3 linked regions of the Arabidopsis thaliana genome follow. The protein of the gene in region 2 interacts with the protein of the main gene of each other region in a pairwise test. Each region holds a gene or a part of one and is shown on either strand. Other genes may lie near its edges.

Region 1 (6,172 bases), on a different chromosome or scaffold from region 2:
TTGTTTTCACACTCTTAACTCATATATAGATACACGAAACACGATTTGACTACAGCTTCTACTCTCTAGGTTAGTTAAAGTTTTTTTATTATTTTAAAAGTTATTAGTTAGATGCTTTTCATAAACGATGCAAGAAGGTACCCAAAAAGAAGTTGCAAAAACAAATCTTATTAGAGTTTGTTTTCATTATTATCGTTGCGTTTTATTTGTTTACGAGTGAAGAAAAGAGAAACAAAAATATAGTTGCTGAAATTTTAGTATTTATAAAATTCGCAGCAATGGATATTAGAACGTATCCATAATCTGACTATAGATAATTCTATATCGTGCCAAGAGGAACCAAAATAAATTGTACATGTCGTTTGATTCATTCCTTTAATTTATTGTGTAAAGAAGGATCCAATCCTAACAAAGTCTTCAAAACCTTCACATTTTTTCGAAATTTAACGACAACTATAGGGTTTCTAGCTAGATTTGAAAGTTTTTTCACAGTTACACCTTTACCTATCTGCAGTAATACTTCCACAAAACTAACGTTAAACTTCTGCCGGTACAAATACATGTGCTTATGTAAGAATGAAAACATTTTGAATTTAATATTTTGCACTGGACACGTTTTTCTTTTGCCATTATGGATTTTCACATAGTGACGGATACGTGTAGATCCGCCGATCCCTATGACAACATAGCATTTTGGAATTTGTTTACGTTCAACTCCTTTAAATAAATAGTTAAGGCAGTGCGTCACTATACTGCTTATTACTACATAGTCTAATTTGGTATATGCTTTGATTATGGATTTATGATAATCAAAAGTTATATGGTATAACCAATTGTCGTTAGCTCAATTGGTAAAGACCTTAGGCGAAGCTTAGAGGTCGCCGGTTCGTGTGATGTTTGGGACGAAACTAATATTACATGCTGTGGTTTCGGGCCTGAGGGGATTACGGGCTTCGGCCCAAAACTTCTTGGATTTCAAAAAATAAAAATAAAAAAGTTATATGGTATATTCTTTTGGATATTTCATTCTCTTTTTAATTTCGTTTCGCCTTAACCGCATTCTCTAATTAAAAATTTAGGTACATGATTCACACTTTTACAGTTTAGCAATGTATACAGTTTCGAAACAAATTCAGTTTCCAATGCCCATGAAAACGCGTATAATACCATAAAAGTTTATGTTCTCAAACTAGATTGAGATTAGTGGCCAATTGATCATGCATGTTCCATTTAACTGAAGATATACGTAAACATGATCAATCGTCCATGAGAACAATTTCAGTCTTGCTACACTAAAATGCAACGGATCGTAAAAGTGATTTATATTTTCATAGAACCACCACATAAATAATTAACAATTGAATTCAGATCTTAAAAAACATAGACAACAGAACCAATTTTGTTCTAAAAAAAGGCACTAAGGAGCAATGTGATCATATAGTTTAATGAGCCAGCAACTAATCGCACACTTGTAATATAATGGAATATATAAATATGGGAGTAGCTAGCTATATAAACCATAAAGGGTAAGGGCATATGATCGAAAGAAGAAAGAAAGTAATGCATATGGAGCTGAGATCAGTATATAGCTTTACACGTTAAATGTAGTTAGTGCACATGACGAAAAACTAAAAATAATACACTTGAGATAATTTGCGTTGATTTTTAATTTTGAATTTGTAGAGTGAGTGTATTAGGTAAAGGACAGGCCACTGAGAAACTGCGAGAAGTCTAGGCTAAGGAAAGTAGAGAGACAGACCTTTCAGTGTTTCAAAAGCAAAGTATAATTACTAAAGGTAAATTATAATTTTTAAAAATGATCATTTATTTATTCAAATATCAAATAATTAGAAGACAATCTTTCTAAAATAAATATAAACAAAAAATGACAAAAAGGTTACCTCATGTGGTATGTCATTTTCAGCTAACCCCTCTGGTTGCCAGAGTAAATACCAAATTAAGTAACTTTTTAATTTACTAATGTATAATTGTTATCTTTCGCCCTCCTAAATTTATAACAATATATAATATACTGCTAAAAAATATATAAAACTTCTTATATTAGTAATCCGATATGTTGGTTAAATAAAATAAAACTGAAATAATCATATTTAGTCTAGGTACAATATTAATAACGCCGGGTTTAAAAAATCATTTAATTGGTTGGTTTATGAGTAAGACAGCATTATTATTGGTGTTATGATATTTCATTGTTTTTTGTGTTTGCAAGTTCTAATTTTTGTTTTTTCTTTCTTTTGCAAATAATTAAATTATTGTATATTTAATACTCACATAGTAAAAATTAAGGAAATAACACGCGCTAACACGCGCCTCAACTTTAATCATTTTATTTATTCAAACCCCATTTCGGAAATAAAAATGACAAAAAAAAGAAGAAGAGGAAGAAAAACAGCAAAAACGTCTACTCTTCTCTCATCCTCGCGCTTGCTCTCTCTTCTCTTTTTTGTCTTTCCCTTTCGTCTCTCTATCTGTCTGTATCATTCATTCGTGTTTATTTACAATCGAACCACGAAACGTCTCTTCTTCTCTATAAAAACCAGATTTTTCTCAATCTCAATCTCTCTCGCTCTCGCTCTCGTTTTCTTTGATGAACCCTTTTACTTCATTCTTACTCTTGATAAATCCAAATTCCCGAGAAACCCATTTCATTTCCTTCTTCTGTTTCTAGAAAGACCTCTTCTTTTCGATAAACCGAGATCCACGAAACCCGCATTTCCTCTCGCTAATCTATTCTAAATTTCGATACTTTTTTTTTTTTTTTATCGGTTTGAATCTCGAGAATTCCGAAGATTCAGAGTCTCCATAGTCGAAGGTGTGTAGCGAATCGAGATGGGTTTCTGTTTGATTTCACTGTCGCTTTCTCTGCTTTCATTTCTGAGTGGTTCATTGATCTCTTCCGTGTTCGTAATCTATGATTGATGATGTATGTTGTTATCAGATGTTTGATTGATGTCTGCCTATAGTCTAATTTCATTATTAAGAACGTTTTTTTTTTGTATACCTAACATCTAAATTTTGTTGTATTAATTGTCATCAGTGGAATCTTGACGTTGAAAGGATGACACAAGCTTTCTCCTTTTTGTTTTTCTTTTGTCTGAAAAATGTATTGCAATGTTAGACAAAGTCTTAATACTATCTCTCTTCTTCGTCTTCTGCATTTTCGATTTACCATTATGCATGTATGCTAAAGCAAATCTGATTGACAAGGTTTTCTCTTGATTTATGTATTGTTGTTTTGTGTTGTTGAAATGAATGATATTTGGGATTCAGATTCGTAAAGCTTTAAATCTTTATGTGTTCTTTTCTTGGTAATGGATTTATTTATTTTTTGTATCGTTGTTTCAGAGGCTCTTGAGAATGGAAGCAGAAACGTCTTGGACCAATTATCCGTACAGCTACATTACATATGTCCCTGAAGCTGAATCATACCGTGAGCAGAGCGACGATGAAGCCAAAGTCGAAACCTTTTCAATGGATTCTCTTCTCCCTGACGATTTATTAGAACGAATCCTCTCGTTTCTACCCATTGCAAGCATCTTCAGAGCTGGTACTGTCTGCAAAAGATGGAACGAGATTGTATCTTCTCGGAGGTTCTTATGTAATTTCTCCAACAATTCGGTTTCCCAAAGGCCTTGGTACTTCATGTTCACTACCACGGATGATCCATCTGGTTATGCTTATGACCCCATTATCCGCAAATGGTACAGTTTCGATCTCCCTTGTATCGAAACATCCAATTGGTTTGTTGCTTCCTCTTGTGGATTGGTTTGCTTCATGGACAATGATTGCAGAAACAAGATTTATGTCTCAAATCCAATTACCAAACAATGGAGGACGCTTATTGAACCTCCTGGTCACAAATCGACAGATTACACGGCAATGTCTACCTCCGTAAACCGAGCGAACCAAGCAGTAAACCGCGCAAACCGGAGTTACTCAGTCTCGATAGTGAAATCGAAGCAAGTTCCAGGGAATTTCTTCCAATGGGATCTCTCTATTCATCTCTACAGCTCTGAAACAATGACTTGGACAACATTAGTAAACGATGTCTTATCCGGATGGAGAGGAGGGAACGAGAGTGTGATCTGCAACAATGTTCTTTACTTCATGATATACTCAACGGGAGGCTCAGATCATCGCCACGGCTTGATCGCTTCGAATCTATCCTCGATAGGATCACCGTCAAGCGGAATCTTGATGAGGAGTTTCATTCCAATGCCGTGTTCTTTAACCTGCGGGAGATTGATGAATCTAAGAGAGAGGCTTGTGATTGTCGGAGGAATCGGGAAACATGATCGACCAGAGGTTATAAAAGGGATAGGGATTTGGGTTTTGAAAGGGAAGGAATGGGTAGAGATGGCGAAAATGCCTCAAAGATTCTTCCAAGGTTTTGGTGAATTCGACGAGGTTTTCGCGAGTAGTGGCACGGATGATTTGGTTTACATTCAAAGCTATGGATCTCCCGCGCTTCTCACGTTCGACATGAATCTCAAGTATTGGAGATGGTCTCAGAAATGTCCTGTTACTAAAAAGTTCCCTCTTCAGCTCTTTACTGGGTTTTGCTTCGAACCAAGACTCGAGATTGCTCCTTAGTTGCAATGAAGAAGCAAATGGGTCTGTGAAAGTCTTGGTCTTTTGGATTGTTTTTGCACAGAGAAATCGCCGGCGGCTTTATGAAGATGATGATACGGTAATGTTTTTAAATTTTAGTTACTGGAAATGTTTTTCAGGAATATTGTTATTTGCAATTTGGTACTCTGTTAATTATAAATTTATAAAATGAGGCCCAGATACTTTTATTTGAACAAACGAACCCTTCTCTATCTCTCAGTGAAATATAAGAACATTTTTCAACATGTGGCCCACAATATCTCATGTAAATGGGTCGGATTCTGAAACTGGAGGTTGTCTTGTTGCTGTTCCTGGTGGATAAAAATAATGATTTTGTTCCTTTTTTTTCCACATATATTCATAATGATTTTTCATGTTTTATTAATTAATTATTGTTGTAAATTATTTTAAAGAATTATGTTTCTGTACTTGTATAAAATTGGGACCTATTTTCGTGATGGGATTTGTCAGGTTTGGCAGTGTTAGGTTTACGGGTAATGGACAACAGCTATTTTATTGTGTATTTTATCATTTTCTCAAGGGTCACTTATTTTCAATTTTCATAGCTATAATAATTTACTAAATTTTAAAATATAACAAAATGTCATTCATTAGTTATAATCGTATAAAAGTTGACGAAGTGATATATAGATTCTACATACTAAAAACAAAATTAATTTGTGTCATTATGCCAAAATGTCAAAAGGAAAAGAAAATTTAGACAATTACTCTGACACATCAAATCAGCTAAAACCTAACTAAATATACCAAACTAGCAACACATATTTTTGTTATTAAAAGCATTTATAATGATAAATCATGATCAGAATCATAGTAAGCAGATTCGAACACTAGTCTCTCAAATTTCGGTAGTAAAGTTTTCAACCATTAGAAGACAAATACGATTTTAACATCATTAGTATTGTTTTTTCTTTTTTAATTTAAGCGTTGGCTTTCCAAAATGAAATAGTAACAAGCATTAACGAGTTAAGTTGTCAATGGGGGAAGTTAAAACTCTTTAAAACCAAAAAATTGACCACACAACACATATAGTGCCCACTAGTTCTCTCAAACGAATATGGAATACTTTAAAACCCACCTCTATTCTCAAGAATTAAAGCCCAGAATTTCAACGTTCTAAAAATAGTTTTGAAAGATTTGTTTTTCACGGGTTTTTCGTAAAATAATTATGAACAAAACAAATAAATTCAAACTAATTTTTACACGTACAAATCTGACTCCTAGCCTCCTAGATGAAATTCAAAATTTTGTACCAGCAGCTCAAAGCTACTAGGTAAAAAATGTCACGAGAGAAAACCGGAGGAATATTGGTGGTTCATCAATACGAATCAAACCGAACCAAGTCATAAACCGGTTCATAGAAAGATAAGAAGACAGACAATCAGTCATCACTTTGGTCTCGTTGAGCCTTTCGTCTATCTCTCACCTGAAAGAAAGACGTTCAGCTTTCTCTTTCCAAAATCAAAAGCTCTCCGATCAGTTTCTCCGGCTTAGGAAATTAATTGAAGGAAGGTGATGA
Region 2 (4,512 bases):
ATTTTGTAAGTGAGCGAGTAGCTAAATGTGAGCATGCATGGGAAATGGTAAAAAAAGAAGAGAAATTGATCAAGACAATACTTCAAAGGTCCGAACATCTTCATCATTCGCAACATGGTCCGTATGGTATTTATATATGCATTAGTTATATAATTATCTATATGATAATTAAACTCTATATATAATTGACTTATATGGCTTGGGTTTAATTAATTTTCTTTTTTCTGTGATTCTGCTTGTAGTCGAAATTCTTAATTTGATGGTTGATGTGAAGCACACATCAAATGTGATTATAGAAGAAAGATCATCAAGTTCAAAAAAAGTAAACAAAAAGAAGAAAAAATTAGAAAATGATTGATATGATCACTATAATTTATGGGTACATATGTTTAAATATCATTTAATAGTGTAATGAAAATTTATTGAGATAAAATGAGGCTAAGAATTTGGTTATGATTGGATACTGCAAGATATATGTCTATCTCTCTCCTATTATTTGTGATGTCGGTGATATGAACATGAACTATAAGTCATGTCCTCCGCCTCCACTAATCATCTATAAACATATCAAAATAGCCACAATACCCGTTTGTGTATTGTAGAACAGTCTTCCATGTATGTCAGAATCCAAGAACATACAAACCCTAAATTCAAAATCCTAGACTATACACGAGATTAATTCAGAATCCTGGAAAGGGTAAATCAAAGCCTAGCTATTTTCGAAGATCTATGATACAGTGATGATCAAAGATGTTGATGATCGAATAAGTCAAATTGAATATTTTCCAACGCGATGCCTCAGGTTGATCAATGATCATCTTCCAAGAACGAAAAATTCAAAAGATCTTGCATACAAAATAAAGGAATGAGTCACAGACTTTAGGAGGCTCACCAATATTATTTAGAACATTTCATCTGAAAGTTTACGATACAGGTCATCCTTAGCAGCTTAGACAAAAAGGTAAGGATAACACAATTTAATATCACATTCAATACAAGTGCAAAAAAAATAGTTTATAAAGAAAAAATCTTCCATCTATCCCCCACACAATAAATCATACACAATAACAACGAGATTCATACTTTATGAAGCCATCATTTGAGATAAATTAATAAATGTATGATCTACTGTGTCTATTGACTTTTTGTTTTTAGATTTAGGTTCTGTTATTTTGTTACGTATGTTCATAAACTTTTAAAAGTTTGATTAATGAAATCACATTCATAATTTCGTAAATTGAGTCGTGATCTGATATAGTGTTATTGTTAATGTAGAAACAAACATGAATACAAAATCTTTTCTAAGTTAGGACCAATCATTTTAAACATTCAGAGTCTATCTACAAAAAGATATAATAAGCAATCAAAAGCAATTTAACATTATTACTAACCTGTGTTTTATTTTCGAAAATAAGTCATTTGTCACTGCGACTAATGCTTCTAAATATTGCTATAGGAAACATCTATGATTGAAAACATTTGACTTAGTTTTATATAACACTCGGAATCTATCCCTTTTGTTTTAAAGATTATAATGAACTCTTCTTACCTTTGTATTGGTAACAACAGAGTTTAGTGTCTTTCTTACCAAACATTGACCGTTCTCATCTGAGATATACAAGCATATACAGCAAAACATATTAGTTGGTATAAGCAGAATCATCTGAATTATGCCAATCATGTACGAGTTTGATCAATGTATAAGGAAAGCTTATTTTTAATTTCACTATCACCAAAACAAAACCATTTTTATATTGGTTCGAATGATGCAAAAGGTCCTTTCTTCCTTTCTGTAACCAATTTAGTTATACATACCAATCATTTTATAAGGAAATTCAAAAAATCTATATCTTAAGCAGATAAGAAAGGAAGATAAGCTCTTACCATTGGATTTCAGAAATTGAGACTATTTCAGATCCGACCATGTTCATCTGGCCTCATATCGTCTATGGCTCGGGCAAACATGTTATTGTATCATAAAATAAACGTGGCAAATTGGATATATAAATACATCATAATTATATAGCTTATATAGATAGACGTATTATTATCTCTTTTCTGTTTTTTTTGTCTGTGAAATCGTTTGATTGATAATGCATATTACTTTGTGATTTTATGTATATAAAGTTTAGCCGGGATTGAATGAAGAAAATGTGAAACACTTCTGGGAGTTTTGTGACAAAAGAGATTGGAAGCAAAAAGAAATTCAGGCAAAATAAATTTCTCTTATTTTATTTGTTGATATCAAATGTTCTTAAATTCTTTTCCAATCACTCGAACGCCCACCTGTTCTCATTGCGAACCTCGGCCTCTTCCTCAGGTGTGTAGTCGTTCTTGATGTTGAAGTGTTCACGCATCTGCGCTGGAGTTTTGCCTCTCATCTGATCAGCCACGGCCTTGCACGTAAGGTCAAGAAGTCCACTGATGTTCAAATAGTTGGCAGCCTTTATAAACCAAGACGATTAGTCTCCAAATCAAAACACAACATTCAATAATATAAATAAAACCCTAACATAGTCATGGAAAAAATATAAAAAACCCTAATTCTAAAAACATAAAACCAAAAAACAAAGAAAAAGACATTACTAACCCGAAGGAGATCGAAGAGAGTAGGATGATCAACTTTGACGAAATCGTTGTCCCAAGTCTTGAGCTCGTGGTTCTCGGTGGAACCATAGAAATCCTTGTCTCCACCAGCCTCAGCAGCGGCTTCAACGTGTTTCTTGCAGTACTCGATAACCTTCGCGAGGATGGCTCCGGTGACATTGGGAAGTGGAATTCCGTTATCGACGCAGTCGTCCTCGATCATGTGCTTAATCGTCTGGGACTCGACCGCGACGGCTTCCTCGACCTCGAAGGATTCACCGTCGGAGCTCTTGAGGATGATCATCTTCTTCGTTTCTGCCATCGTTTGCAACAAGGACAAAGGACTAGACAAGTTTTGAAGAGAATCGGCTCTGCGATTGATTGTGAATTGTGTGATGGTCTCAAGGTTTGGGAAGTTGGTGCCCTATTTATAGATCTATGTAAAAACAATTTCTTACTTGGTAATTAAAGTCGGTTGATTGCTTTTATGTTAATCTAATCCTTTTAATAATAGGAAAACAATAAAAGGGAAACAAATATTGGAATTTTAAGTAACAAAATCTTTATTATTTTTTTCTTTTAAAGAGAAATATTTTTACTTTTCCAAAAGCTCAACCTTAGTAATAATATTTACTTTCCAGATTTACCCGTATCTGATTTCAGAAAATACAGTTAATCATCTACTACGTGTGAAAAAATCATTGACTAGGGTCTTATGTTTTAATAAAAGTAAACCTCCACGTTCACATAGATTATGAATTAATTATTATTTGTGTATTTTGTAGTGAATATCAATGAAAATGTAAAAATTGGTAACCAACACCACAATTTTTTTAATAAATTATTATTTACTGGGTAAAACTACGTTACACTAAACAAACTGAAATTAACGAACATTCATGGGTTTTGGTTTTTAAAATTGTTGGAGAAAAATATGATTATAGTTTTAGTTAATTTTTATGTTCATTTTGTGTGTGAATTAGATACTGTTCTTTTCTCCATTCAGATGATCTTTTAAATTATTATAAACGAACGTCAATATTTATCTTCATTTAGATGAATCATCGAATGGAAAAACGAACAGTACTTTAAAAGATTAGCGAGAAGGATCAGTTGGATGGTTTTTAATAAACTCATTTAAAAAAGGAACAGAACAGCAGTTAACGGAAGCTGATTTAATCCAAAATACGAAATGTCATAAAATACACCTACCTAAAAAGAATTCCAGCAAAACCTAAACCTATTTCTCCTTCATTCCTCGACATTCACTTCGCCGGACCTCTTCACTGGATCTCTCACTAGAATTCACTCCTATCTCTTGCCGTAATCCACTATTCTTTGCCGGATTTCTCGTGCGTTCTCTCTCTCTCACTCACTCTCTCCTTCTATCTCTCTGTTTCATGGATTTGATTTCACTATTTCTCACTCTCCCCTTCTACCTCTCTATCTCTTGCAGTAAGACTCACGGGTTTGATTTGTCCTTGAGTCATTAGATGGATTCGATTATTTATTTTAGCTCGTTTTGGACAAAGTAAGATTCATGGGTTTTGTATTGAGTTTATGATGCTTATAAGCTATAATTTTCATGGGTTTTTGTATTTGTCGAGATTCATGGGTATGAGCTGATTCATGAGTTTTGTATCTATTGTGTATTTAGAAACTGATATGCTTTAGAATTGTGTGTCAGTTTAGGGTATAATTTAGGTCAGTTTATCACTGTCAATAACCATCTTTCAGTTATATCAATGCTGTATTTTCATCTAGTTCAGTATTAGATTGTTTGATGAAAAGTAACAAAGTATCAATATGTCATTACTAAATCAGGATTTATATGCTAACAGAGTTAAGCTTAGATTTGGGAATTAACAATAAGCTGCATCGGTAGACATAAGTCAGAGAATTTTGTTATACTTTTAATGTCAACAA
Region 3 (6,326 bases), 9.5 Mb from region 2:
CATGTGAAGCCTCATTCTTGCTTCTGTCCACAGATGAAGAGCCAGAGGTACTAGGAAGGTTTTCTTTAGCTACAGCAGTAAAGTCTTCAGCTGAGATAACTTCTGTTTCACAATGGACTTTAAAGGGATTATTATCTTTCAGAAGGATATGAGCAGCACTGATATTGGTTCTGTTTTGCTTTTTGTTCCGCACACTGTCCTTCTCTCTTTGTTGAGCAGAGCCATTCAAGAAGCCTGTATCGGTAAGTAATACGCTAGATTCTGCAAGCAGGGAATCCACTTTCTCAGATAATGTATTCATAGAACAATTACTAGCATATTCCTTGGTCACATTTCCATCCCCAGTCTCAGATTTTTCGATGTCTTTACTATGCTGCTCTTGATCTTGAAGAGGAACAAAATTCTCCGATGCTGACGTTGTTGCATTTGACAAATTTGTTGGAGATGACACAAACTTCTCAGGGGTGCTGGCTGCCTGATTTCTCTGTTGTTGTTTACAGAGCAGTGAACCTTCTATCTCAGAATTAGTATTTCCTTCTGGACTTCTCCGTGCAAACACATCGCTAATGTCAACAGCAGGAATCAATGCACCGCAACTGTGTTGATCTGGTATGCCTTTCTTTTCAGAAACTGGTGGCCTGTCATCGCTAGTGTCAACAGCAGGGCTCAATGCACCACTACTGCATTGATCTGGCAAGCCTTTCTTTTCTTGAACTGGTGTTCTATTATCATCGCTAGTGTCAACGGCAGGGTTCAATGCACCACTACTGCATTGATCTGGTATGCCTTTCTCTTCTGGAACTGGTGTTTTATTATCATCGCTAGTGTCAACAGCATGGCTCAATGCACCACTAATACATTGATCTGGTATGCCTTTCTCTTCTGGAACTGGTGTTCTATTATCATCGCTAGTGTCAACAGCATGGCTCAATGCACCACTAATGCATTTATCTGGCATGCTTTTCTCTTCAGAAATTGGTGTTCTATTATCATGTTTAGATAACAAAGCCTCCAAGTTGGTAATGGGTATATCCGCATGCTTATCCCTGAGTACACCTATTTCTTCCCTCCCAATTGATGGGGTAGTCAGAAAACGGTGTCCGGATAATTGAAGCTTTGATTTCTCAATTCTTTGAGAAAGAGCAGAACCAGGTGACGGTGGAATCAAACCAAGTCTGGATTTGCTTTTCTGAATGGTTGACAAGCTCTCAACTAGTGCCCGAGTCTCCCTGCTCATAAAGCTTCCACCCTGTGTAGGGGAAGGAGTAACACAAGATAAAGACTGAGGCAACATACCAACTAAAAACGCACTTTGCCTTCTAATAGTTGACGAGGAAAGGGAAGCCTCTTTTGTGTAACGTTGGCTTCCTGATTCCTGCAGACCTATGGGAATGCATCCATTTGGAAGGGACGAGGAAAAATCATCGATAGGTGATCTTGCTTCCACAGTATTGTCTTCAGGAAGCAATTCCTTGCTTTCATCTCCCATTAGAGCTGCTAGTGTAGGAGATAGATACCCGTAATCATATCTCCGAGAATTTTCACCGACGATACTCATATCATTCGAGTCTCTACCACCACTTCCTTTATCAACTGGTACAGGTGATTTTGGAAATAGCTTCTTAGGTTCTGTTAACACCATTGCACTTCCTGTATCAGATCTGGAAGTAACCTCAGTTGGTGTTTTCTCTTCTACTAGAAGATGGCTACTCGTAGGGGTCCTTACATCTCCAGACTCTGACCTAGCAAGACTCCGAAAATGCATCGAAAACGCCGTAGAATCCATCGTCATTTCATGGTGTTCTTCAGAGATAGGAGTATCCAACAATCTTCCAGGATTAATAAAATGGGAAGACACAGGACCGAAGAAATTATCCTCTGGTAACGAAAACAAAATCGATTCAGCTAAAAATTCAAAGAACAAAACCCTAAATTCACAGAGCAATTGAAGCGTACCGTTATCACTTGTAGCGGAACCAACAGTGCTACCTCCTGAAGATGGAGAATATTTCGGCCTCAAGAATGATTTATCCAAGATAGGTTCGTATTCACCATCACCATCTCCGTCAGTATCTTCGCGGTCAGATAATTCACCGAAAAACCTAATTACTTTATTATCCTCATCAGGCTCTGATGTATCACCACCGTTTTGGGGTTTCGCGGCGGAGGTATTGGGCGGCGTCTCGTAATCTTCGTCCCGGTTGAAAATGTGAACGGAAGTAATTTCCCGGTCGGCGAAGCTCACTCGTCTTAGCCGCTTCCGCCGTTGCGCTATAGATTCCTCGTCTGTTCCTATTCCGGCGGTGTTGTTCATCGGATCTTCTGGCTTTTCCGATGCCATTGGGGGAATTTTCGAATTTTTAGGGTTTGAAATTGAATTATTAATGTGCGGGAAATGCAGACATTTTAAGTTTTAATTTGAACAGTACTGAGAAGGAAGAACATTTTGATTTTGATTGAATTGATTAAATCGGGTAAATGAAATTTCAAACATAGTTAGGCCTAACCATTTGATTAATTAGATTAACCGGTCGATTAATATTTATTCTATAATACTTTTTTCTTTGTACGATTGGGCCTTACTTATAAAGGGCCGAATAAAAAAGCCCATTTAAAGAAAGACTTCTTTTTCGTTTTGCATGTGAATGTGTTGTTGGGATTAGATTCGATTCTTAACCATCGGTCTCGTTCATTTCGACTTCACTTTTCGTCCTCTTTCTTCTTCAGATCATGTATGTATGTCGCTAGTAGACATGGATCCATCAAATCTCTGAGACACCTGAGCTTGATGAATAGCCATAGACAAAGCTCTTCGATGCAAATTCTCTTCAACAGCAATCAACTTCCTCTGTGAACGATTCATTCTCTTGCTTCTGGATCAATCTCCTCCACTTCTGATAACAACATCTTTCTTCTTCATGCAGATTACTCTGTTACCCATTATTCACAAAACCCTGAATTTTGCCCAAAGTGATTCCATCATTGCTTAGCTTTAGCCGGGTTCTTGTTTGGAGCTGTTCCTTATGCAAAAAAAATCTGAAAGTTTCTTAGCGAATTGTTACCTCTATTAATTTCAATGGAACAGAAATTGTAAGTATCTTTGGTTCGTTTATGTTTTTCTTAGCTGTTATAAAGATCCAACCCTAACTCTTTGAACCCTAACTTTTTTTTTTTCCTTTGATTTTTGACAGCAAAACCGATTCTATGAATGAGGACAGAATCAGTGACTTGCCTGATGCTTTGCTTCTACAGATATTGTCTTCACTTCCGACAGAAAACGCCATAGCCACGAGTGTTTTGTCTAAACGTTGGAGATCTCTTTGGACTATGTTGCCAAAACTCAAGTTTGATTCCAATTTCAATCCTGTGTTTGATGATGATAACATAGATCCCACTATGTTTTCAGAGAATGTTTACAAGACTTTGTCTTTACATAAAGCTCCGGTTCTAGAGAGTTTGCATTTGTCATTTGAAGGTAGAACAGATTGTTTGCATGTTGGAATATGGATTGCAACAGCATTTGCTCGCGGTGTGCGTAAATTGGTATTGGATAGTTTCTATCAAGAGGATCAAACTGTCACGCTTCCTAGTGTTTTGTTTAGCTATAATGATTCACTTGAGATCTTGAAACTCAAGTGTGCTATCGATTTAGACTTTCCTTCTCGGGTTTGTTTGAAGTCTCTTAGAAAGCTATACCTTGACCAAGTACATTTCAAAGACGAAGAATCTGTTTGCAATCTTTTATGTGGCTGCCCTAGTCTTCAAGATTTGGTCGTGCATAGATATAGCAATGCCGATGTGGCGACTTTCACAATTGCGTCGCCGTCATTACAAAGATTGACCATAGAAGATCTTAGACAAGAAGGAGGTTATGGAAATGGAAGCTATGTGATAAATGCCCCTGGTTTGAAATACTTGAACATCAACGGGGTTATTGATATTGAGTCTTGTTTGATTGACAAGGCACTAGAGTTAGAGGAGGCAAAAATCAGTAACGTTTCTGGTATAACCAATGAGAACATTCTGGAGTCTCTAACTTCAGCCAAACGTCTTATCTTACACTTATCACCCCTTGAGGTAAGCTTAAGATTGAACATTTTCGCTTGGTTATTTTCTCTGCAAATTGGGCTAACACTGTTTTTGTGTATCTAAAATGTATGTAACAATGTTACACTGTTTTGTGGAAATGTACTTAGGTTAAAGTTCCTACTGGTAAAATCTTCGATCAACTAGGCTGTCTAGAGCTACTTACACACGAAAGAGAGTGGTGGAATCTGCTTTCGATCATGCTTGATAGTTCTCCTAAACTACAAATCCTCAAGCTCACGGATGTAAGCAATTTCACTAGTTGTTTGTTTCCACAACTCCACTTTCAGGTAATTTGTTGATTTAGATGACATAAACTGCATTGTTCCCAGGTATATCTGCATGACAACAAAACAAATCCGGACGAACGAAAATGGAATCCACCAAAATGTGCACCGGAATGTTTGTTGTTCCATCTTGAGACATTCTTGTGGATAGGATATGAATGGCAACGAGGTGATGAGAAAGAAGTTGCCACATACATCCTAGAAAACGCAAGACGGTTGAAGAAAGCAACTTTCTCCACAAAACGCATCGGAAGGGAAAAGCTCGAAGATTTTGAGAAGAGGCGTGAGATGCTCAACGAGTTGGCTATTGTGCTCTGGGATTCAAATTCATGTCACCTTGTGTTCGAATCTACTTAATATCTTAGACTTGTATTTTGTTGGCCATTGGGAAATGTTTACTTGGCTGCTCTACCATATATGTTAGATGCTAAATGTTTGGTGACCTTTTGAGGAAGAGTATCAGAAGATTATTACTTCTATACTAGATAATAATCCGCGGTATATTGCGGGTTAAAATCTTTTTATATAGTATAAAGTTTAGATTTGTTGCCATCCGAATATCTATTTTTTGAATATCTTGCATCAACTAGAAGAGTTTCTCTCAATGCTAAAGTGCTTCAAGAGATTCGTTGGCTCAATCTTATGAGGCTATATAATTTATTTCATTTGGTTGCAAAGAAGGTTAAAATGAAAAATACTTGGGTTCAAATACTACAGAGCATTACAAATAGTTCTACGGCACAAGGGGAGGAAACTCATCGCTCGCGGAGTGCATCCAAACTTGGTTTGCGACAAGGCAATGCTAAGGATAGATTTAAACTAAAAGTTACGAAATTTTTTGCATTAAACATGTGTAAACTTTTGTTTTTTCTTTGAATATAATTTAACATTAGATTCAAACAAAAAATAGTTTCCTGCGACATGACATTGTTGTTTGAAGTCAGGACTATGATGTTATCATTTGTCAATAAAAGATGAAGAACAAGATAAGATTTACAGCCACATGACACAACAATAAGTGAATAGACAAAAGCTTCTTAATTGTTTCCAAGAACTACTACTCAAGTTTGTATGCATGAAGAAAAAGGCAAAACTCTGGCGGCCAAGGGTTACTACTCTTGGTCGAATAATACCTGCTCCCTGTACTTGTATCGCTCTCACCACCACCACCACCACCGTGACCACTTCCTTCCATGTCGCTGTCTTCGGTGGTCCCTGGTTTGAATATGAACAAACCATGGCCTGTCCCAGGCATGCTGAACAACCAATCATACACGTCCCAAAACACTTGAACAGGTTGTTTATCTACCAACACTGTCTGATTCCCTCTGAATTTCCATTGCAAATTCTTGACTTGTATCAACACAATCCCATCTATGCTAATCCACATCTCTGGCTCTTTAGGCCCGGAGGTCGAGCTTTCCACGATGATCTCGTGTTCTTTTTTCCTATCGTAAAACTTAGCCCTGGTGGTGAAACACTTCTTGCCAAACACGTTTTCTTTCTTGTAGAACAAGGCAGCCTCGACCAAAGCAGGCCTCGACTTTGTTCTCTTGAAAGCTTTCTTCTTGTAATCACCCACAAGCAAAACCACCTCTTCCTCCGAGACTAAAGCCACGTAGAAATCCGAGCTCGGCTCTGGACTACTCGTGAATTTCGCAGACCTAAAATCCCAATACACCTCTACCGGGTTACCTTCCACATCGAACGACTTGTAGCCTTTCTTGTTCCAAAAATGCCAAGGCTTCAGATCAACCTTGCAACAATAATTCATATCGCCTTCCACGTTTGTCACCATGACCATAAGCGAATGATTCATGAGATTCTTTGACCACAATACCGTAACATTCCTCCAGAATCCGGATATATGCGCTTGGTAAATGCACGTCACGGTGCTTTGTGCTGTCTTGTACGTTACAGGATCCTCTGTTACCTTCTCTGCGAATTGACTAC

What was found. Proteins that work in one complex are often made in the same cells at the same time.
Region 1: the proteins of SK3 (region 2) and HWS interact in a two-hybrid assay, tested with the Arabidopsis thaliana proteins (2 studies listed by BioGRID).
Region 3: the proteins of SK3 (region 2) and AT2G04230 interact in a two-hybrid assay, tested with the Arabidopsis thaliana proteins (2 studies listed by BioGRID).

The regions. Positions count from the first base shown.
Region 1 is NC_003074.8:22,789,536-22,795,707, forward strand, and holds HWS (Galactose oxidase/kelch repeat superfamily protein), read left to right. Parts: upstream 1-2,576; 5' UTR 2,577-2,932; coding exon of another isoform or gene 2,933-2,944; 5' UTR 2,945-3,132; coding exon 3,133-3,228; intron 3,229-3,366; coding exon 3,367-4,614; 3' UTR 4,615-4,806; downstream 4,807-6,172. Other genes in the region: POB1 (POZ/BTB containin G-protein 1), read left to right, coding at 6,169-6,172.
Region 2 is NC_003071.7:10,946,644-10,951,155, forward strand, and holds SK3 (SKP1-like 3), read right to left. Parts: upstream 2,984-4,512; 5' UTR 2,909-2,983; coding exon 2,591-2,908; intron 2,445-2,590; coding exon 2,271-2,444; 3' UTR 2,104-2,270; downstream 1-2,103. UniProt on the Arabidopsis thaliana protein: Involved in ubiquitination and subsequent proteasomal degradation of target proteins. Together with CUL1, RBX1 and a F-box protein, it forms a SCF E3 ubiquitin ligase complex. The functional specificity of this complex depends on the type of F-box protein.
Region 3 is NC_003071.7:1,445,429-1,451,754, reverse strand, and holds AT2G04230 (FBD, F-box and Leucine Rich Repeat domains containing protein), read left to right. Parts: upstream 1-2,654; 5' UTR 2,655-3,076; coding exon 3,077-3,090; intron 3,091-3,191; coding exon 3,192-4,077; intron 4,078-4,196; coding exon 4,197-4,331; intron 4,332-4,418; coding exon 4,419-4,730; 3' UTR 4,731-4,960; downstream 4,961-6,326. Other genes in the region: AT2G04235 (uncharacterized protein), read right to left, coding at 1-2,341; AT2G04220 (DUF868 family protein (DUF868)), read right to left, coding at 5,431-6,326.